Linked DNA regions of Oryzias latipes. The protein of the gene in region 1 interacts with the protein of each later gene in a pairwise test. Links are inferred from orthologs where the notes say so. Each region holds a gene or a part of one and is shown in the gene's direction. Other genes may lie near its edges.

Region 1 (12,123 bases):
TTTCCTTCCGTGCAGGCGTTCTTTCCGATTACTTTTGCCCATGTAAACGCAACTATAGAGGGGCATAACTCACGGCGACATGTTGCATGTCTGTAAAGCTCTCCAGAACATACTCTAACTATTAGCTTAACATCAACCATGTTTTCCATGATTTGGCAACAACTGAAGCAGGTGCTCGCTTTCATCACATCGCTTTCACTGAAAGGGAATGTTCTATGTTATGTTATACAGATGAGGGAACGTTTGGAACGGATGAAAGCTAGCCCGCTCTCATATGTCAGAAGCTCAGCAGTATCAGAAGGGGTGGTGTGACAAATTAGCCCGACAAAGGTCTTTAATCCTGGGCAAAGGGTCCTGGTACTGTTGCCAAGCGAAGGCCGCAAATTACTTGCAAAGTGGCAGGGTCCATTTGAGGTTCAGCAGAAACCGGGACCATCAACATACAGAGTGGCAACCCCTGCGCAACTCCGTTCCAACAGGGTGTTGCATGTCAACCTCCTGAAGGAGTGGGTGGAGAGGCCCACAAAAATTGCTCTATTAATTAGAGGGGTGCAGGAGGAGGAAGATGGGGAAGAACAGTATCTGCCAGTGACCTCCTCAGTGGACTTAGATGTCAGCCACCTGCCCCAGGAAAAACAACTTCAGGTGAGAGAACTGACTAACTCAAAAGTGTTTCAAGAAAATCCAGGGAGGACGAATATCGTCTCCCATGACATTGTATTAAAAGAAGGAGCATCGGTGAGACGTTTGAGTTACAGAGTCCCAGAGAGGTTGCTGGACCCACTGAAGGAGGAGGTTAACCTAATGTTGTCCCTTGGAATTATTGAACCCTCAAAGAGTGAATGGTGCCACCCACTGGTCCTGGTTTCAAAAAAGGATGGAAGCATGATGTTCTGCATTGATTTTAGGTATTTAAATGCAAACTCAAAATTTGATTCCGACCCCACTCCTAGGATTGATGACCTAGTGGAATGGCTGGGAAAAGCAAAATACCTTTCAACTATAGATCTCTGCAAAGGATACTGGCAGGTCCCCCTTACTAAACAAAAAAGCAAAAACATTTTCAAACCTTTTATAAGACAAATCTTTTTTTTAAAACCCAAAGTATATTTGTGTGTTTTATTGTATGCGTCTTTTTTTAACCATCTTCTTTTTTTCGGTTATGTAAACAATTTGTTTGGTCCCAACAGCTATATTATATTATATTATAATTGTGTGTATATGTTCTTAAATGTTAATTAAAAAATGTTATGTTTGGTGTTACTGATTATGATAAGAAGCTATCTTTAAAATTACAATTGATAAATTTCCTAATTTTATTAACAAAACACTAACAAAGAAGAACATTCATAAAGTTAACTTTAGCAATAGAAATCTAAATTTCTTTGAACTAATTGCTCAAATCAGACAATATTTAAACACTATGTCACCCAGTACAAAAAAAAGCAATTACAACCATCACTGGCACTGTTTCAGCTTTACACAGTAACAGTATTACTTTAATTTGTGTTGTTTTTTTTTTACTGTTGAAACCTCTTTGTTTTTTTTTGTTGTTTTGTTTTTTATTGGGTGTGGGGGGGGGGGGTATGTACAGTTTGTTTGTTGTTCTATACTGTATTTCATGTAAGGGTTCTGACTAAAGTTTTTTTTTTATTCTCAAGGGCCTGCATTACTACCGTTCCAATCTCAGTCCATAACATTTTAGAATCCTTTGTTAGGAATACTTGTTTTTCAGGACAGAAGCGCAATAATAAAACCCTTCATAATTTATTCCAAAAAGAGTTAGTTTCTGCTTCTCAAGCTGTTTCTTGTTGGAAAGGTGTAGTTACAGATTAAGATTGGGAAAAAATTTGGGTAATTCCTAGTAGATGTTTAACCCTTGTGCTATCTTAGATGACCCCACCCTCACATTGATGTGTTCTCCCTACCATGATGTAATCCATGGGCACCAGTGAGGTTCACAAATAATTGTAGAAAAAAGGTTTAGCTCACTATCTAGTGGTCTAGAAGACCCAACTCCCAATATTAAAGTGCCTAAGATAGCACAAGGGTTAATAACAGACAAAGTTTCTTTCAAAATTTTACATAAGTTTTACCCTGTTAACAATTTCATGTCCAAATTCAATAGGAACATTGTTGCAAGGTATTCCTATGAGGAAACCACCCAGAGTCTCTACATCACCTCTTCTCGATCTGTTCACACACTAGGGTTTTGATCATCTGCACAAGGATTTTATCTTAAAATAAGAAGACACATTTTTTATATAAACATATTAATCCTAATGGCAAATTTTCACATCCACAAAAAATGTGGATGTGAAATCCAGAAATCCAAACAAAGTCAACAAAGACCGTTTTGAAGCACTTTTAAAATGACATTGTTGTTACATGTCACAAATAAGTCATGCTAGTAAGAAAAAGGCCTTGAAAACCACCAATATATTATTACTTTACTCTGTGTCTGAATATTTGTAACACCTCCTGACTTTGTTTCTTTGATATCTATTTGTATGATGTTGCTATTTCTATGTGCATCATTTCTAACTAAAAAAAAAAATACTCCGCAACTGTAGGTGGCGATAGAGTCGCTTCTTATCTTTACCATAGAAGAAGTCCTTCCTCCACACGTGGCTCAAAAGCACAACATGACGAAGCGAAGACAGAAAAATAACTTCTTTACGAAACTGTCCAAAAAGCAGAAGAAACACTTGAAGGAATTTGGAGAGGAGCACCCATTCCACGATGTGTAAGCGCTGTTTCCTTTTTAGTTTTACAAATGTTAAGACATATACAGACTTGAGGGTTATCAAGAATAATGTATGTTTTATTAAACAAGTTCTGCTAACAGCTCGTATTTATCTATTTAATTAAGATTTCAATGTATTTCTTGGAGAAACATTTTTCCCATTTATTTTTTTGACCATGCTCGTATGAGTAGATTAGCCACCGGAAGTATCTGGCAAACTAGCGATCCGAGCTTGTGCGCGAGGCTGCAGCGTTGACTTTCTTTGAATAAACATCGCTTGTCATCAGTAGGTAGCATAAAGTCGAGCACATCTTGTAATAAAATTTGTTTTTGACCTGCTTCTCAAATTTTAACTCGTGTAACGACGTAGGAATTTTTCCGGACGGAAATTTCGGTTCACAAAACCTCTCGTCAGCTTTTAAGTTAGTTGGTGTCTGATTTTGATACTAGTCGATTTTTGCTGTCGTGTTCTCCACCTTCTGCAAATTTAATGAGATAAAAAAGTAAACAGGTACTGTGTTTTTCGTTGGCAAGCAGTGCAAGCTTGAACATGAGGTCACATGACAGGTTTTGGGTAAGCTGACTGGCCGGCTGGTTTGGGCACCGCAGAATTTCCTCTCTGCTCTCTGCAGATGATGTCCTGTTGGCTTCATCGAGCCATGCATTGGGGCTGTTTGCGTCCGAGTGTGAAGTGGCTGGAATGAGGGTCAGGACCGCTAAATCTGAGGCCATGGTTCTTGACCAGAGAAAGGTAGTTTGCCATCTCTTGCTGGGTGAAGTGTCCTTGCCCCAGGTGGAGGAGTTTTAATATCTTGGAGCATGAGATTGATGGGCAGAGCGGGCTGCATCCAGAGTTATGTGGTTGCCGTATCGGTCCGTTGTGGTGAAGAGAGAGCTGAGCCCAAAAGCAAAGCTCTCAATTTACCGGTCGATCTTTGTTCCAATACTCGCCTATGGCCATGAGCTCTGGGTCATGACAAAAAGAATGAGGTCTCGAATACAAGCAGTTGAAATGAGCTTCCTCCGTAGGGTGGCTGGGCGCTCCCTTAGAGATAGGATGAGAAGCTCGGTCACCCGCAAAGAGCTCGTTGTAGAACCACAATTCCTCCACATCAAGAGGAGCCAGTTGAGGTGGCTTGGGCATCTAGTCCGGATGTCTCCTGGACGCCTCTCTGGGGAGGTGTTCCGGGAATGTCCCACTGGGCGTAGGGCCCGGGGAAGACCCAGGATCCGCTGGAGAGACTACGTCTCTCGGCTGGCCTAGGAATGCCTCATGGTCCCCCCTAGAGTAGCTGTAGTTAGTGGCAGGGGCGAGGGAAGTCTGTGCGTCTTTGCTAAGACTGCTGCCCCTAGGACCCGGTCCCGGATAAGCGAAGGGAGATGGATGGATGTATCAATCATGACTTTTTAAAAAATATTTCATGTATTTCTACCCTTTGGTATCATATTTTTGCGGACTTTGTAGATATTATTTTCATGTTTTTCTGACTTTCTCTTTATGTTGGTAACTTAAAATAAAATAAAAAAATATCCAGTGTAAATAAGATGTCTGCTTTAAAAATGTTTTTTAAGCTAAATAATTTCATAAACATGATATGTAATACTTAGGGCTGCATGTAATAAGGAAAACTCGAGATAGGCGATATTAGTGATCAATATTGCAATGACGATATTACTTGCAATACATGAACAATAGCAAAACAACCAAAAACCAAATTTCCATTTCACTGCAACAGTTTAATTTAAGAGTTAACCCTAGTCTACAAATGAGGCCAACATCTAACATAAAAGAGCTCCATCCAATTGATCAAATACATGAAGGGATTTATTTGATTCGTTAAATACTTCAAGCTGTCATAAGACTGTAACGATTTATTGCAATTTTCACCATCTTTTGCGATATCCGTATTGCACAACTTAATATCGTGATAACGATAAATTTGAAATTTATTGTGCAGGCTTAGTCATGCGAAGATGTTGGTGTATATTCTGCCCTACAGCATCAGTGTAAGTTCAAATTGATCTGTACCATTTCTTGATTATTTTACTAATTGATTATTATTTGATAATACAGAAATAAAAATGTATTTGAAATCAACTTTAATTGTTGTAGTTCTTTTGACTGGCTTTGCAAAGATGCCTCCCTTTTTTGGATTGGGAAGTTATGACACTAAGAACACTCATCTTTGATTCCGGTCACACAAATTGTGTTGTTTTCCTTTATATTTTAGAAATAAAATATGCCCTACATGTGATCACTTAAAATGCCATAACTTTATTTGTTGGCCTATCTGAATGATCTGTATACTAATTAAATTTTAGTCACAGGAATGGAAAAATGTGAACTGCACATAGAACTATTTACTAGTTCTATGTGCAGTTCAGTTTACTAGTTAAAGTTACTTTTACCATGCAAAATGACAACCATCTGAAATAGGGTTGGGCGATGTCCATTAAATTGGCCGTTGACGATGTTTGCTGTCAACCATCGGGATGGACGATGACATCGTCGGGGGGGGGGGGGGGGGGGTATTTTTACATTTTTCGTTCTTATATAACTGCTATTCGTTTTTTTGCTTTTTTCATTTTATTTCCCAACTGATGACTAATCCGTGATGATCCAGTATAAACTGAGGGAAGTGACTTTGACAAAAAAAGTAACAAACAAAATAGAAAAGAAGTAGTCCGCACCCGCACTTCCGGGGGAGTGCGGACTTACAGCTTTGTGTTTGATGGGAAGGGGGGGGGGTACATGAGCGGTATGTGTGGGAGATTTAAGACTGCGATCCGTCCCGCAGCTCTAGGGGTACTACCTACCGAACTCAGAACCGGGTCTAAAAGTGTGTGTCTGTGCACAGCTCGGATCGTCAGCAGAAACACAGCGGTTTGAGCTTCAAAGCAGAAATGTCGCTCAGTCCTTAGAAAACATTCAAACAATCACGCGGATTTGTGTTTCCAGTCGTGTCCCGACTAAATAAAGGCTGATGTTATTCTTACATGTTTACGTGCAGCCAGCAAGCAGCACCACCCAAAGCTAATGTTGTTAGCCCGTGTTAGCATACTGCTAATCCTGGCTTCGTTCAGAAAAAGCACTGACCACACGGATTAAAATTCAAATGATGAGCGAACAGGTGTTTCATAATAACCGTAACATTATTAAAAGCACGTTTAGAAGATCGTCTCGTATTTTACCGAGCTGACATGTCAATGTATATAGCCGCTCGGCGCTGTTTAACATTGTTTTGTATTGAATTGTTACATACAATAAAGTTTGAAGAAAAAAAGCCGCTCGGCGGAGTTTATATCCCTCCGTTTTTCAAACCCTACTGCGCATGTGCGAATGATTTATTCCGACGGAAAGTGTGACCTTAGTGAACGTTTTTATATTCTAAAAACATTCTTCTGGGCCCATGTACACGGTTGGATTCTAATCCGACCATTGATCCCATCAAGATATTTTGTACATGTAACCACGGCTTATGGTGTCGACGCGCAACGGGGCGGGGGCGTGGCATCACGATGGTGGTCTCTCCATCGGGATGTCAGTCACCCATCACGATGGACGATGATATTGTCCATCGGCACAACCCTAATCTGAAACAACTGAGACATCCTTATTAACAAAAAAAGTTACACTTCCCAGCTTGGCAAGCAGGGGGCGTAACACTACTAGAGCAATTAATTATTGATAGAAGATTCATAACATCCCAGGAACTTCAAGACAAACATGGAATAAATAACTTCTTGAAATATAAACAACTTAAATCTATAATTACTAAAACATTTAAATACAAAGACAATTACCTAGAACTACAAGAACCAGTTGTATCTGATTATTTCTTTCAATGAATAAAACCTCCAAAATATATGAACAATCTTATGCAATCTAGATAATATTTCAATCCGATAACAAAATGGGATGCAGATTTGAGTTTCATTACAGTTAAAAGCTTCATGGGAGATGACCAAGGAGGACACCACTATTGAAAGGAAATCATAAAAAAGCGAGACTGGAATTTGCAAAAATGCATCTTAACAAGCCACAAAGCTTCTGGGAAACCGTCCTTTGGACAGATGAGACAAAACTGGAGCTTTTTGGTGAAGCATACGACCAAAAGAACACTGTCCCTACTGTGAAAACATGGAGGAGGCTCAGTTCTGTTTTGGGGCTGCTTTGCTGCATCTGGAACAGGGTGTCTTGAAGTTGTAAAGGTCAAATGAAATCTCTAGATTATCAAGGCATTATGGGTAGAAATGTGCTGCCTAGTGTCTGAAAGCTTGTTCTCAGTGGCAGGTCATGGGTCTTCCAACAGGACAACGATCCAAAACACACAGCCAAAAAACCCCAAGAATGGCTGAGAGAAAAGCGTTGGACTATTCTGAAGTGGCCTCCTATGAGCCCAGATCTGAATCCCATTGAACATCAGTGGAAGGAGCTGAAACATGCCATTTGGAGAAGACACCCGTCAAACCTGAGACAACTGGAGCAGTTTGCTCATGAGGAGTAGTCCAAAATACCTGTGGACAGGTGCAGAAGGCTCATTGACAAATACATAAACCCTTTAATTGCAGTGATTGCCTCAAAAGGTTGTGCAACAAAATATTAAGTAGTGGGTACCGTCAGTTTTGTCCAGCTCTATTTGATTAGTTAGTTTTTTTAAATAATTCTGATAATCAACTCAATTTTAATGTATTGTTACTTTTGAACATTTCAAGTCATTTCAGTAAGCATTGTGGACTTTCTTTCTTTAACTGAGGGGTACCAACAATTTTGTCCACCACTGTATGTTTGTGGCATTTGGGTGTGTGTGTGTGGACAGGTTAAAGAAAAGAAACATGTTTGAAATTTAAAAAGAAGAAAAAGTTTTTTTGTTTAAATAATAAAGTCAAAGACCATAAAGAAATAAAGTCAAGATGGTCCTAAACTAAACTAAACAACATTTCACAAACACTGAGGGTTTTTTTTTAAGGAAATGAAATGAATCCCTTTTGGATTTATATTACTTATCAACCTGAATGGAATGATTGCAAACATCCAACAACTTGTTGCCTTATGCTGCTGACCCCCCCCTCCACTTTAATACCCCCCCCCCCCCCCAAGGGCACCCCTCTCTCTTCTTCCCTTCTTTTCTTTGCCGTCCAGTCCAACAAAACACTGTTACAGATATGAGTAAGATGAATAAAGTTTAGCCTAAATTATCCTATCAAAAATGTATATAATCTATTTATGACTAATAATTCTCTAGAATATTCACCTAGTGTGTCAAACATTTCATAACCCCTATTGTAACAGTAAAATATGTCCAACACAAGAGGCTTTCACCTCTCATCTGTCTACTTAGCTGTTCAACAGGACAAGTTTAAAAAATGTAGCTGGAAAATCTGCAGTCTGCTGACCTAAAACTACCAGAAAATAAAATATGTTTGCACGGACATGGATATTAGTAACTGCAATGCAAACGATTCTCTGATTGCGTCTTTATCTTTTCTGTTTTTTTTCATAGAGTTACCGAAGGATCTGAAAGGATGGAAATAGTAGAACTGGTGAGTTTTGCTTTTCCACTTGTTATCCTTTCTGAACTCTAGTTTCCTCATTTACACTTCTGTGTCTGCTTCAGCCACCTAGCCCAGAACATTCACCCGTAGACCCAGAAGAGCAGGAAGATGGGCAAGAAGACAAGGAACCAGAAAAGAAAACGCCCTATCAGAAGCTACTTTCAACAATGAACCAATGCACACCTCATGCAGAGGAGGAAAGCTCAGAGGATGAAGAGGAAATTCTAAGTAAAGGTTATTGTATAAAGGCTTGTTTGGATGATATTTAGCCTTAAAGTCCCACGAAAGAAATCTTGTGATTTATTGTAAAAACATTATCAGTGGTGTTTTAATTATGATTATGCTATTTTTTTAAACCAAAATCTAAAAAACTGGGTTGTTTTCTAGGACATGCTTTTTACAGAGCAGCAGCAGTTCATTAGAAATTTACCTTTGAGTTTTGGATGGAACTGTTGTCACAGAACAAGCCCACGGCCTCTTCCTGTCACACATCTGTTTACACTCTCTCCCACTAGCTTACAGCCCCTCACACCCTCAACCTTACGTTACTGGTGCAACAAAAACTGCAAGCAATATTGGATTTATCTTGTCGTACAGTTGTCCTTGTCTAAGATGGCATCTGGCTCTAAACTGCACTGCTGGATAGCTTTATATTGCTCATCAGTTTTGTGCCAGTAATGTTAGCTTGGGTATAAGCTTGCGATGGAGCAAGCAAACCAAGCTCTCAGCGACTGGGTGGGGAAGGGGGTTGGATTCCTTCACACCATCTGTCCTGCCCTCAATTCAGAGGCCAATTTATAATGAGCTCCTGCCGATGTGCAGAAAATGTATTTAAAAAACAACACAGGCTTTTTGATTCTGGCTAAAATCTACATAATCATAATTAAAAGAGCACTGGGAACAATTTTACGATATAAAAAAATGTAGTTGGAGAGGGACTTTAATTAGCATTTTGTTTTTAATGTATTACAGAAGTCAATGATGAAGCTGAGGATGAAAGTAATAATGATGAAGAAGATGTGAAAGAGCTGGAGGAACTTGCCAATAGAGAAGCTGAGAATGGAGATTGCAAGTACCAAAACGAGGCTAAAGAAGAAGAGTTTGTTGACAAGGGGCAAGAGTTGGAGTTTTCCCTAGATACCAACTTCCTGAACAGAAAAGAGCAGTGTGAAGCCGGAAACTTCACGCAGGAGGAAAACGGCAAAGGTCAGAATCTACGATAGGGCCAATATATATTATGGTTATGTGTTAGGGGTGTAATTATTCATTAACACAGGGGTGCTCACACTTTTTTGGTGTGTGAGCTACTTTTGAATCGACAATGTCTTGAAGATCTACCTAAAAGATATTCATGCATATATATATATATATATATATATATATATATATATATATATATATATATATATACACACACATATATACATATATACATACATACATACATACATATATACATACATACATACATACATACATACATACCAGGGACTCAGAGAAGAACTGGAGAAAGCATGGAAAGTGAAGGTGACAGTGGTGCCTGTGGTAATTGGAGCACTTGGGGCAGTAACCCCCAAGCTGGAGGAGTGGCTACAACAGATACCTGGAAAGACCTCAGACCTCTCAGTCCAGAAAAGCGCAGTGCTAGGAACAGCTAAGATACTGCGCAGGACCCTCAAGCTCCCAGGCCTCTGGTAGAGGACTCGAGCTTGGAGGAGAAACCACATGCGGAGGGTGAGAGGGGCGTTTTTTTGTTTTTTTTTTTTTTTAATAAATACTATTAGTAAATGACATTGAATCGACAATGTCTTGAAGATCTACCTATAAGATATGCATGCATATATATATATATATATATATATATATATATATATACTATTAGTAAATGTTTATTAGTCACATTAGTTGTTTATTTGAACATTATTGTTTATGTACTGATGATTAAAAAACTACACAGTGAGATTACACAGATACTTTTGTATTAACAGATTAGGCGTTTTATGACAAAGACAGAAAGCAGCAACCATCGTATGACATGCTCTGCTGAAAATCGTGCAATAGGAAGAGCGTGGCATTTAATGCGCTGCTGGCTCCGTACGCGCGTGCCTCTGATAAAACAGCTTCCTTAATGAGCTCGTATTTATCGGCCGAGAACTGCAGAGCTGATAGCAAGAGGAGAAACGCGGGGCGACTTCAATAAACACTCCGGTTGTCCGGAGAGCTCTCCTGCCGGGGACAAGATGTGCCGCGGGGCAGAAAACGACTTTCTCATGACAGTTTGCGCTCAGTGAATTTATGCGCTCAGTGAATTTAAACAGGCGTCTGCAGTGACGTATGTATCAGAGGATGTCCGATTGGCCGTTCTGCATGTCAATCAAGTCCCGTACTTCTCGGTGAGGATTTTGATTGGCTGGTGGATTTTTAAGAAGTGCTTTTTTTTTTTTAATCTTCTCTCTCCTGGATCTACCCTCATGTCCTTGAAGATCGACCGGTCGATCGCGATCGATGTACTGAGAACCCCTGCATCAATCTAACCATATTAATTTGTCTGAGACAAGTTGTTAATTGAGTCAAATTGACCTGTATTGTTATAAATTTATATCAAAATAATACAGTGCCTTGCGAAAGTATTCGTCCCCCTTGAACTTTTCAACCTTTTGCCAGGCATCAAACATAAAGATATAAACTGTAATTTTTTGTGAAGAATGAACAAGTGGGACACAACCTTCAATTGAACAAAATTTATTGGATATTTTAAACATGTTTAATTAAAAAAACAACCAAGTGCCATCACAGCGGACAACACACACGTGATGGGAGCATTAATGATCAAGCCATCATTACAGTCCAATGTATGGAAACACTGAATTTTGCAAAGACGTGACAATTCAGTGTGGTAGAATGTACCGTTTGTATTATTTATATGTGGATAATCATTAGTGGGCTGAACTTATGAAACTCAAATGTAAATGGTTCTGCCATTAGGTCTTGTTTACTTGTTTGTACACTTTTTTTTACACTTGATTATCCTACAAGAAATGCAAGGAATCTGGAAAATTTCCCCTGCACTGTTCAGTACCCAGGTATTTATCTCTTGTGACACATTGGTTGAAGTCTTGGCTAAAGATTTCCTGGATCGATTTTAAGTCAGTGAATCGGATCGTTCAAAATGAACTAATGTCGACTATGAATTGTATCAAAAACCACATTATTATATGAATCAAATCATTGTTAAAATGAATCGTTACACCCCTAACAAAAATGCATTTTTAATGTAGATCTTAATTTCTGTTATAATTACAAATGTTTTGACTGTTATCTGTAGATATGTTCCAGCAGCATTTGTACACAGAGCTCACTGAAGAAGATGTGCAGAAGATAATATCTGACAGCAAATCAAAAACACAAACTACGGTATGGAATGAGTACTTTATTTTTTGCTAAACTCTGCTTACAGTTTTGTCTTTTTTTCTGAATTAGTTGGCAAGAATGGGAACGCTTCTCTGCACCACTTTCCTTGAGAAGTTTGGGCAAGTTGACCTGCAGAAAGATAGAAATCTCCCCGTTTTCCACCCATTTTTGAAAACCAGCTGGAAGGATCTGAACCAACTATCCGACCCTAAAGAAACACCCGAGGAGATCAGCCCTCTCCAGCTGGAGTTACTGACCCTCATGGCCTCCTACAAGGATTTGTGTTACTCAGAGACCTGTCCACTTAAGCTGGGTCCTCAGGTCCGAAGTGCATACTGCCTCCATGTGCTTAACCACGTTCTGAGGGCCAACTCTCAAGTACTGTTGCACAATGCGCAGGTGAGGGAGCG
Region 2 (11,051 bases), on another chromosome or scaffold:
ACTCCTGAGTTGTTTTCTTCTTTCCTTGCAGCGATGCTAACATGACAGCGATATTAGATCAGAAGCACTACATTGAGGAGTTGAACCGTCACCTAAGTGGAACCGTCACCGACCTTCAGGCTAAGTTGGACTCAATAGAGAAAACCAACAGCAAGCTTGTAGAGGAGGTCAGGTGCACTTGTATGTGCCGTTTGTTTCATTTCAAACAAGTCAAAAGAAGTGATTTTATTTTTATTTTTTTAAATTCTGACATTTATCTAAATGTAAACAGTTTTTTTTCTTTTCTGTGCTCTTGTCTTTAGCTCACAGCAGCAACAGACAGAATCAACTCTCTGCAGGATGAACAGGAACAGCTGAAGAAGGAAAATGAGTCAATTCTGCAGTGCAGCCAGAAGAAGGAAGAGGTCTGACTCAAACTACCAGCAGTTGGACTTTTGTCACATGAAGGAGGGAAAAGGCACTTAATAAAACGCGCGTGTTTCCAGGCAGCACTTCAGGACAGTCAGGTGGAGCTGGAGACCTACAAACAGACTCGACAAGGCCTGGATGAGATGTACAACGTTGTGTGGCAACAGTACAAAGAGGAGAAGCGAATTCGACAGGTGTGACCATTTTGGGTGGGCTTAAATGCTGTAACAATATATCTATTATATTTTATAGATATTATGTTTTTTCCAGGGTTTTTATTTTTATATACCAGTACTTTAGTTTTCCTTACATTTTAATCATTATTAACATAATTTTAAACTTCTAAATATGTCTTTAGCAGTGCTTACTTCCAACTTTTCTGTTTTATACTTGTTGTTGCAAAGTCATGCTCCTAGTGTTCCTGTCTTGTGTTTCTTTATCTGAACATTTATACGGGAAAATCCAAAGGAAGTTTTAATGTGGCTTCATGTTCAATTTGAGTTTTTTTTTTGAGTACCGGTATACGTTTTTGTGTTATGTCCCAAAGAAGGCAAAAGACTCAAACTAGTCTTCTGTTAGGAGCTGCAGCGTGAGCTGGAGCTCCAGGTGGGCTTGAAGCAGGAGATGGAGGTGGCCATGAAGCTGCTGGAGAAGGACTCCCACGAGAAACAGGACACGCTGGCGGCCTTACGGCTCCAGCTGGAGCAAGTCAAAACGCTCAATCTGCAGATGTTCCACAGAGCTCAGGTAGACGCAGAGGCGTGAACCGTCTCTGAACATGGCAGCACAGAATCTTACAAATTTGTGCGGCTCTTAAGGAATCGGAGAGACAAGCGGAGAAAAAGCAGGAGGAAGCGGTGAAGCTGGAGCAGAGGATGAAAGACATGGAGAAAGCCATGGAGGAAATGGAGCAGAGGTATTCAAACGTGTGTCTTTTGTGCATTAGGTCTTTCCATTAAAATCGGTGCTCCTTCTGATCTTTCAGACTGCAGAACTCTGAGTGTGAACGCAAGCAGAGTGACCAGTCGGATGAAGACATGAAAGTAGAACTGGAAGGAAAAGTAGATGCTTTGCAGACACAGCTGACAGACCTGGATACACTCAGGTGATTCACACAGTAAAAACAACTAAAACCATGTTTCATCTTTCTTACTTCAAACCATAGCTGCAGTAATGTGGAGACAAAATGAACCTCTTTAGACTGTTTCTTGTCATGGGATATGTTTTAAGAAACGATTTGAAACAAAGTTTTGTTGCAATTAGTTTGAAAATGTTTTAGCACGAACATTAAATACAGTTTTCTTGCATCGTTGCAGTGAAAAAACATGACATTTGTTTAAACGTCACCTAAATAAATGCAGCTGATTGTTTTGTTGTGTGGCTGTTAGCTGTGGTTCCTTTCACTGAGTTTTCAACCCATTTCAGTGGCTGCATGATTGAATGAAGTGAAATGTTGGAGTGACTGTGTTCCTCTGTGACGCAGGCTGGGTTTGGAAAATGAGCTGCGCACTGAGAGGGAGCAGAGGCAAAGCTTGCAGAAAGCCTTGCAGCGAGAGCAGGACAACAGCTCGGAGCTCCGCACGCAGCTGCAGCAGCTGCAGGGCCTGCATGTGGTCAGTAAACTAGGAGAAAACAACGTTTTCACCAAACTGTATTCGCCCTTAGCCAAGTGTCCACTTCTTATGGCATGAAAGAAGTGGAAAAAAAATGGGTTTTTTGAGCGTATGCAAATATCCGGATGGTTCCTTGTTAACATGCATTACTAGGGGTCCCATTCACGTTAAATAGTTGAAAAAATGACCAAAACTACGAGCATAAAGTAGCTACAGGTTCCACTGTATACTGCTTTTTATTGCATGTTATTTCACTTTACCCTTTTCGTTTTTTTGAAGACTATTTGCCTTTTGTGGTAGGAGCGTAACAACCAGAATTATTTCTATATACCGTATTTTCCGGACTATAAGTCGCACCAGCCCAAAAATGCATTTTAAAGTAGAAAAAAACACAGATAAGTCGCACTGGACTATAAGTCGCATTTTGACAGGAAATTTATTTGACAAAATCTGTGACCAAGAACTAATAACTTTCACAACCTTATATGACACAATCATAGCAGACTGTTTATCTAATAATTTCACAGTAATTTTTTCTCAAACTTATTTATTTATTCTTCATGAAGCATCATTGGCCAACTAATTCTCTGTTTTCATCCTGTATTTGTAGAAACAGTTGTCATTTTATTGCATTTCTGAATCTATGAAATCATTGGAAAATAGAATATTATGTTGTTAGCCTTCAAGATCTTACTGTAAAAAAAGTTTGCTGATTCTCTGAGTCACTTAACATACTTTTAACACTTAACATACCTCATACATCAAATTGACCCAGGAACATCATCTCTGTTCCTCACAAATGAACATAACAGGAGGGTTAACAATATATTTATTTCAATTTATTCCTAATATAAGTCGCTGCGGAGTATAAGTCGCACCCCTTGCCAAACTATGAAAAAAAGGGCGACTTATAGTCCGGAAAATACGGTAATTAAAAGATATCAGTGGATAAATAAATCTACTAATGCAAAAAACAAAACCTTTCAAAACAACTGTAACTTTAAATTAGTAAAAAGCAAAAAAGACCCATTCCAATGAAAATCATATTTGGGTGTTGTTGACATGTCATTGTAGCATTTTTGTCCTAATGGACATATATTAAAAAAAAAAAGATTACCGGTAATTATTTCTTTATTCAAATGGTTGTGAACCAGAAGCAGACACTAAGCTGCCGTTGGGAAAAGCTCGTAGGTGTGACAAAGAAGCTACAATTGACAGACCACAAACTCCCTGCTCCACTCCATTCTGAGGCATCCACCTGCAGATGCATAGATTCATAAATGTCTTTGTTTTCATTATCTGAGCTGGCATGTGGCTTAAAGCTGGACAGCTGGATAGCTCTGATATTGCTCACTATTTTTGTTGCACCGGTGATTTTAGGTCAGGGTTGTGAGGGGCTGTAAGCTAGCGGGAAAGAGTGTAAACAAAGGGATGATGGGAAATGAATGCTGGCTCACTCCCCCACATCGTAGAAGTGAATTTCTGATGAACTCCTGACGCTCTGCAGAAGCTATGTTCTTTAAAACGAATTTTATTTTTAAATTTAGGCTAAAAACAGCGTAATCATAATTAAAAAATCGATTAAAAGATAATTGGAGTGGGACTTGATAGTGTAAAATAGTAAGACTTCTTAGTCCTTTCTGCTGCTTTTAATACATACATTTTTATGTACATTACTGTTTTAATGGTTTAACAGCTGTTGTCAGGAAAAAGAAAGAACTAATGCATTATTTGTTGCAGGAGCTTCAGGAGTTGAAGCAAGAGAAGCAGCAGCTGCAGGAGAGGTGTGAGCAGCAGGAACAGGCCCTGCAGGAGATGGGACTGCATCTGAGTCAGTCAGTATCAGTCGTTTTTACTTCAAGAATCAAATATTTCATTTTTAAGTGCATAAATCCTCTCTTATTTTGCTTTTTTTGTGTGTGCTTAAAGGTCCAAACTTAAAATGGAAGACTTTAAAGAGGTCAACAAAGCCCTAAAGGTAAACTGAAGGAGTCACTTGTGTTACTAATGCATCCAATTTTTGTGGACGAATAGGAAAAAAAAAAAGAGTAAATGCCTGTGCTGACACCTCCAGGGCCACGCATGGCTGAAAGACGATGAAGCCACTCAATGCAAACAGTGTCAGAAGGAGTTCTCCATCGCCAGAAGAAAGGTCCGGGCTCTTTGTTGTTTTGAACTTCTTCAAAAATCTATTTAGATGTGAAAATAATACTAATAATGATTGTTTTTGCAGCACCACTGCAGAAACTGTGGAGACATCTACTGCAACAGCTGTTCCAGCAATGAGCTGGCCTTGCCCTCCTACCCTCGGCCTGTGCGGGTGTGCGACGTGTGCCACGCCCTCCTTCTGCAGAGAAGCTCTTCAACGGCTTCCTGACGACACACCACACCACAGACTTAGATGTAACGCTAAATAACAACCAATCACAAAGAACTAGAGAGCTTACGGTAAAGGAGAACTGTCAAACCTGATTTGCCGTTTCATTTTCTGAAATTCCCTTCATGTTTTGAAATCGATAAGCTCCACGTCTTTTCAACAACACTGACACCCTCACTATTCAGTGAAGTCCAAACACACAATCATGCTCCGGTTTTGTGTTGGTACACTACGGCAGTGCAGGAACGGCGCACAGCACCATCTGAACTCCAGTTTTGGGTTTATTTTTAAAGTGCAGACACAGAAACATGTTCACGTCACATTTTGTAAACGAAAGCAGCTCCAGTTCTATGGCTAAGAGGCTCGGGTTCAGGATCTGATGTCTTATTGTGGACTTGTTTAGCAAAACCAGAAGACCTGATCGCAAAACCAAATCTTTAAGACTGTTCGGATTCTGCTGATTAACTTTCATATCTACAAACCCTCATTTGGTGGGTTTCCAGTGACTAGTGTAGCTTTAGTTGATTATGAAGCCATTGGATATTCAAATATCCAGTTTATTTTGCTTACGACTTTCTAAACCTTTCTACAATGCAGATTACAAAAACTTTAAGGCTCGTCTTTCTGCATAAAAATGTATTAACTTGAGACTTAATATTTTATTAAACAGTTCTGATCAGGATGTAAGTTTGTGTAAATGACCGTGGAATGTCGACAGAAACTAACGTTGAATGTCTTTAGTTTTTGTGGCTCGTGATGACTACGATAAATCGGTTTCTATAGTTGGAGAATTTTGATTTAACATTTTTACCAATTTATTAAATAAACTTACAACTTGTTCTTTTTTCAATGACATATTCCGGAGTACTTTTATTCACTTTGTGCACAGAAAATACAAATAGAAATTTGAAGCAGTAAAAACCTCCATTGTAGCAAATTGGAAATTGGTTGCCCTGGATACAGCCTTCATTCACCAAAAAGAAAACAAACTGTAGAAAAGAAAGCACGCTCAGACCACACCAAAATTCACTTTGGGGTAACATTTTAACTGGAAATAAAAGACTAGAGGCAGACACAAAGTAAAATATCAAAAGGACAGTAGACATTTGCAGTTTCCCTGCTCATGCATAAAGACTTTGCATGGTGTGTTTCAGACCACCAACTCATCAAGTGTACTCTGTGAATTCCAGACTGGTGTTTGGGGATCAGCAAAGCAAAACAGCATAACTTTGGGTCGTAGAAATGAAAGCAAAGTTCTGTAAGGTGTTAAATCTGAGGAGCGGGTCGGTTAACACTTCAGACATTTCTGGTGGAAACGGGACGGTCCAGCTTCTCTTTGAAGGTCATTTTCTTATAAAAACAAAAAAACTACGCCCTCAACATTTTCAAAACCTCAACTGACTACAGAGTTTACAAGGCGAAGCTCGGAGTTTCAGTTCTTTTAGCAAAATGCTGACTTAAAGAAAAAAAAATCTAACAAGTGGAGAAAAAAACAAAAAAAAAAAATATCTACATTCCCCATCCCCCACCAAGTCCATTCATTGAGCCTCTGCTTCCTCCGCCTCCACCGCCACCATAGTAACTGCTTCCCATCCCGCCCTGGTTACCTAACAAGAAAGAGAAAATACACACTATTGGACCAAAGAGTTTATATGAGAGCGAGGTACCACCAAGCAAGAACACTTCTGCTTTGAATATTATGTTTGACCATAGACTGTATATGAGAACTGGACTGAGGAACCCCTCCCCCTTAGCATTCCAAACAGGAAGTGAATGCATTAGACTTCGATTGAAAAATAAACTGCTATTACTCAAGCATTATATCTTACATTTTCTTGCTAATCCTTTTTTTTTCCACGGTATTTTTTTCTGTAGTGCAAGTTGTTCAAGTTATAAACTGGCCAATCAGATGAAAGTAGGTGGTGCCTACTGGCCTCAACGTTGGACAGATTTCACACCAATCATTGCTTCCTGATGACGTAATATGTGGCAATGTCCGTATCGTGAAAAATAAGACATCTGAATTGACGTCATTTGGTTGGAGCCAGGAGTCGGCCATTTTTTACAGGTGACGTCACCATCACCAAGTCCAGTTCTATTATACAGTCAACGTGTTCAACAAATGTAGTGCTTAAAGTCACATATCAGATGTAGATTAGCTTGAATTGTTATTTTAGAAACTTCCTTTTGAGAATAAACCATTGGCTTAAAGACAAAATATATACTTCATGGTTTTAGCATTATTACATCACCCTTGAAATGTTTTAGGGTTAAGATCAGCACAAGAAAAAGAGATGACACTCACTGTAGTCATTGTAGCCGCCCATGTTTCCTTGGCTGCTGTACCCACCAGAGTACCCCGAACTTAGCTGACCCCCGCTGTAAGAGGACTGGTTTCCTGTGGACAAAAATAAAACACATCAGGTTTAAGGAGAAATTATTATAATCATGTATTCCCTTTAAGAAAAGGCTTAACTATCAATGTATTCTATCTTTGGTTAAGCATTTCCTTACAATCAAGAGGTCAAAATATCTTGGTTTCCATCACTTACCCATGCCACCCATCATCTGGCTGCCATAAGCTCCATTACTGCCACCTGCTGTTGAGTTTAGGAACAACTCCACATAACGGTGCTCTGCAAAGACAACCGTGCTTTAACTAAAAGGGTAATGAGTGATACGGTGCATTTGAAGCTACACAAACTAACTCACGCATGTTGGCTTTGTCTTTGGACATGGCTGCTACAGCATCTTCATGTGTTGCAAATTCTACATCCGCTTCCCCGGTTACTCTGCCGTCTGGACCAATCTCAATGTGGACGCGCACAGGATTCAACGGAGAGAAGAACTAAAGCACGGAAGTCAAAGTTTCCAAGTTGTTTTTTTTAAACAGAATCCAAAACAAACTTGTAACTGTAGTGGTTTGTTAGTGATGAGTTTCCATCTCACATTGTAGATGTCGGTCTCTGTGGCTCTGTATGGCAGGCCTCTCATGTGGACACAGTGACCTGTTGTGCTCTGGAAAGACGAGCCACTGTCGCCATAGCGTCCGTCTGACACACCTGCATATACAGTGAGATTAGCACAGTCTTCCAAGGACCTCACACCCTAATCCCATTAGTTCTATAATGCAGTGTTTGCATGAAAGGCCATCGGCTGAGAGATTTCAAACAGCTGCGCAGCTTTAGAGCACCAAGCCCAACATTAGCCTGCTCCGAGTCCACCCACCTCCTCCTCCTCCTCCTCCTCCTCCATAACCGCCACGGCGCATTCGGTCATAGGATGCCCCTCTGCCCATCATGTTGTAGCCGCGACCACCAGAGGGCCGGTCGTAGGGGCTGGGTCTCTGCATACCCATGGGCTTTCTCTGGGGTTCGTAGTGAGTCCGCACCTCAGCACGACAACTCTTGAAGATTTCAATGTACCTGAGTGCATAAAAGTATCACAATTAGGCCATGTGGAATGGATAGGAGCTGCATTTGCTTAAATCTGGTCTATGCAGTTGCTGTCATGTTGTAGTCCAATTATAGACATATCTAACATTACTAGATGCTTGGTGTTTAAGAAATGACAAGAACTCTATACAGTAAGCCTTGGTAACTTAGCTTTTCTTATGGTTACCTGAGGCAAATTAGAAATGGGATGCATATTACAGTTACAGCTTCCTTTGACCGTGACACAGCAGCCAGTGTCCTGGTTTAAGAAGGCTAAAGAGAGCGCTACCCACACTGCAACCCACTCTAAGCATTACCTGAGGCAGTGGGCTCCAGATCCTTGTGTACAGTGGCCCTGGGATTTTTACCACAAGGGAGATTCCTTACCGTGTATCAACCTGGACTCACATTTAGTGCTGAGACACCATTTGCTTTTTTTTTTAAATTATGTCAGCCAAATTAGGAATAGTCTGTTTTCGAATGGTGACAGAGCACTAACCTCCCCACTGAAAAGTGTGAATGTCGGGCAGGGTTTCTTTTAATGCAGTGTTTATGTTTAAAGGTGTGTTGTTTAAAAATGTGTGGCAGTTGTTGAAGGTGCACACCATAAGAAAAGCAACTTATCCAGCCAACCAACCAACCATCCCCACCTGTGCCCTATTCTTTCCTTGTGTTTCTTTAGAGCCTTTTCAGCTATATCCTGTGAAGCAAACTGCACGAAGGCCTCCCCCGTACTCCTCCCCTGGATGTCCACCGGCAATGTTATCCCATTTGGCACGATTTCCAACCCTTCAACCCAAGGACAGATAACCCCAGCAGGGGACATATTAAATCACATGCCCAATCACAGAACGTTCTCTAAAGAGAGAGAAAACTTATGGAAATTCTTACACATCACACATATACCAGTTCAGTTTTTACCTGGCTCTTTCAAGGAGTTACACTTACTGTGTTGTGGGGTTAAAGCAGAAATGACAGGATAGAAAGAGAGTATGAAAGGGGGCATTTTGTGGGGGCACCAAGCTAATAGTGGGGTGTTGATGGAGAAAAAGGTTTCGGTGGGTGACATGAGGAACATTACCTTTTGCCAATCAGATACAAATCTGAGGTCTGACACAAACTGTGAACATCAATTATATAAACATTATTAAGAGACAAAGGGCTGAGGAAGTGTGAGGAGGAAAGAATGCTGGGGTAACTGGGAAGAGGTTCTATTTTGTATTTGTGAAAGCAGCTCAGCCCGGCACCCCCAAGGGCAGCAATCCCCCACTTTGGTGTTAAAGTGCTTAGATTGGGAGGCGTGTAAACAAGTCATTTGTAATACCTGTAAAGGGTAAAAGAAGAAGCCCGGGGGGCATGACAGAGGCTAGAACCCAAAAAGCGCCCATCTGCCCAGCTGAGCAGTACAAGTACAGTTAGCCTAAAGCATTCGTAAAAATCACTTCATCTAAACACACAAACTGTGCAAACACTGTTGATTTACTCAGAAAAATCAAAGAACACAGAACAATGAAAAATATGTGACTTAAAAACAAAAAAGTCAACTTAAAGTGATCCTCCCATTTTACCAGATCCTAAAAGGAGATTATTACCCAAGACATAGTACACAGGTGTTCACCAAAACCCAATATTGACCCAATATGAGTCTCAAAATATACATTTTTTATTTATAGTTTATGGTTACCTTGGAAAACTTGAGCAAACAACTCTTAGATGTTTCAGACTGAGACCCAGCAAAATGATTTCTTTTTAAGAAACACGTCTACAAATGAAATTAAGCTTTAAGTTACACACACAAAGAATTGTTGATTCTTCTCTGTTATCAAGGCATTATAAAGTAAAAAGTGCTTTTTCTGCCACAATGGTTGGTCTCCCTAGCAGATAATTCATCATTTAGCAGACAAATGACACAAAATACACAAAAAAGGCTAAAAGTAAAACAGTTGGGACTTTTCAGAGGTGCTCTGATCCAAATCCTATTTAAAAATCTGTGGAAAGCCTTAAACATTCTTGTGGAGAGGGTCCCCTTCAGTCTTGCAACAACTGGAGTGGTTTGCTTGCAAAGAGTAGATTAAAATACCTGCTGACAGTTCCAGGACCCACAGATCCAGATTTCATATAATTGCAGTAATTACCCGTAAAAGGTTATGATCAGAATTATTAAGTTGAAGGTACCAGAATTTTTGTCCAGGACTCTTTTATTATTTTAAGAATTCTAAAGAAAAACAGCACAAAAGCAATTTTGTAAGTTACATTTTCTATTAAATACTTTCAGCAGTCCTTGTAGGATTTTCCTTACATTAACACAGAGGTACCAAAGATTATATGCACATGTCTGAAATTAGGAGCAGATTCATCTCCGCAACTAAATATCAACTTCCTTATGACCATTACTAATGTGCAAGTAATAAAAAATGACTTGTTTTCTTTTACTTACTTTCTGATTTATTTCCAAATAAAGTTAGTTACATTTCAAAGCCATTTATTGTTTAAAAAAAAAAGTATTAAACCCATTATGAAAGTTATAGAAATAATTTAACTTTTAAATACACTAACTTTACAGCAAAGCATTTACATTTTTAAACTTTGCCTGGTTGCAAACTATTGTTTAGAACATTGACTGTAAAATTCGACTTTGTTCAAGTAAATGTTATATTAAAGGTTTTTGTTGGTGCTAATACTATAGGATTCCAACTTTAGTTACCCAACGTTCATGTAACTTTATGTCCAACTCTCTGTAGGAATAGTTTGGTACTTCCAAATGAAACATCGGAGAAAAAAGGGATAAAAAAGTTAAAAAGAAAAGAAACTGGGCTTTTGTGAAATGACATTTGATTAGGATTTGTGTCAATGTAGAGATAGATTTCTCAAACCCAGCCTGTCACATTGCAATCGATGCATCTCTGATCCTATACATTTCAGCTGGGACAAGATTGCTTAAATGTAAACCCACATCTTAAGATAAAGTTTGACAACGGGATGACTTTGAGTTCAAGATGAAGATGATGTGTGAGGATGGATTAGGGTGTCTACCTGCTGCCCTCCATCAGGAATGATTCAAGAGAACAGCAGCTTTTCATTTCCAGCATCACTTTCAAACCAAGCTCCATATTATTTTGCGATCGTCCGTGCTTACATAAATAAGACTGTAACATCTAGTCCCCAATGTACATTGAACGAGTGAGTGTTGGTCAGAGAGTAGGAACAGGAAAAGAAATG

Evidence for each region.
Region 2: the proteins of diexf (region 1) and RUN and FYVE domain-containing protein 1 interact in binary tests that used the Homo sapiens proteins (3 or more experiments, as listed by UniProt). The link is inferred for Oryzias latipes from reciprocal best matches to the Homo sapiens genes UTP25 and RUFY1.

Annotation. Positions count from the first base shown.
Region 1 is NC_019880.2:28,785,366-28,797,488, forward strand, and holds the start of diexf (digestive organ expansion factor homolog), read left to right. Parts: upstream 1-2,589; 5' UTR 2,590-2,645; coding exon 2,646-2,746; intron 2,747-8,250; coding exon 8,251-8,290; intron 8,291-8,364; coding exon 8,365-8,536; intron 8,537-9,274; coding exon 9,275-9,508; intron 9,509-11,627; coding exon 11,628-11,716; intron 11,717-11,782; coding exon 11,783-12,123. UniProt on the Homo sapiens protein: Component of the ribosomal small subunit processome for the biogenesis of ribosomes, functions in pre-ribosomal RNA (pre-rRNA) processing. Essential for embryonic development in part through the regulation of p53 pathway.
Region 2 is NC_019868.2:19,586,493-19,597,543, reverse strand, and holds the end of RUN and FYVE domain-containing protein 1, read left to right. Parts: intron 1-31; coding exon 32-167; intron 168-302; coding exon 303-404; intron 405-485; coding exon 486-602; intron 603-987; coding exon 988-1,155; intron 1,156-1,226; coding exon 1,227-1,324; intron 1,325-1,393; coding exon 1,394-1,513; intron 1,514-1,891; coding exon 1,892-2,021; intron 2,022-3,761; coding exon 3,762-3,856; intron 3,857-3,950; coding exon 3,951-3,999; intron 4,000-4,095; coding exon 4,096-4,173; intron 4,174-4,254; coding exon 4,255-4,398; 3' UTR 4,399-5,383; downstream 5,384-11,051. Other genes in the region: hnrnph1 (heterogeneous nuclear ribonucleoprotein H), read right to left, coding at 5,908-6,005, 6,704-6,796, 6,951-7,034, 7,111-7,246, 7,348-7,460, 7,627-7,823, 8,483-8,621. UniProt on the Homo sapiens protein: Activating adapter involved in cargo sorting from early/recycling endosomes. Regulates retrieval of proteins from endosomes to the trans-Golgi network through interaction with the dynein-dynactin complex.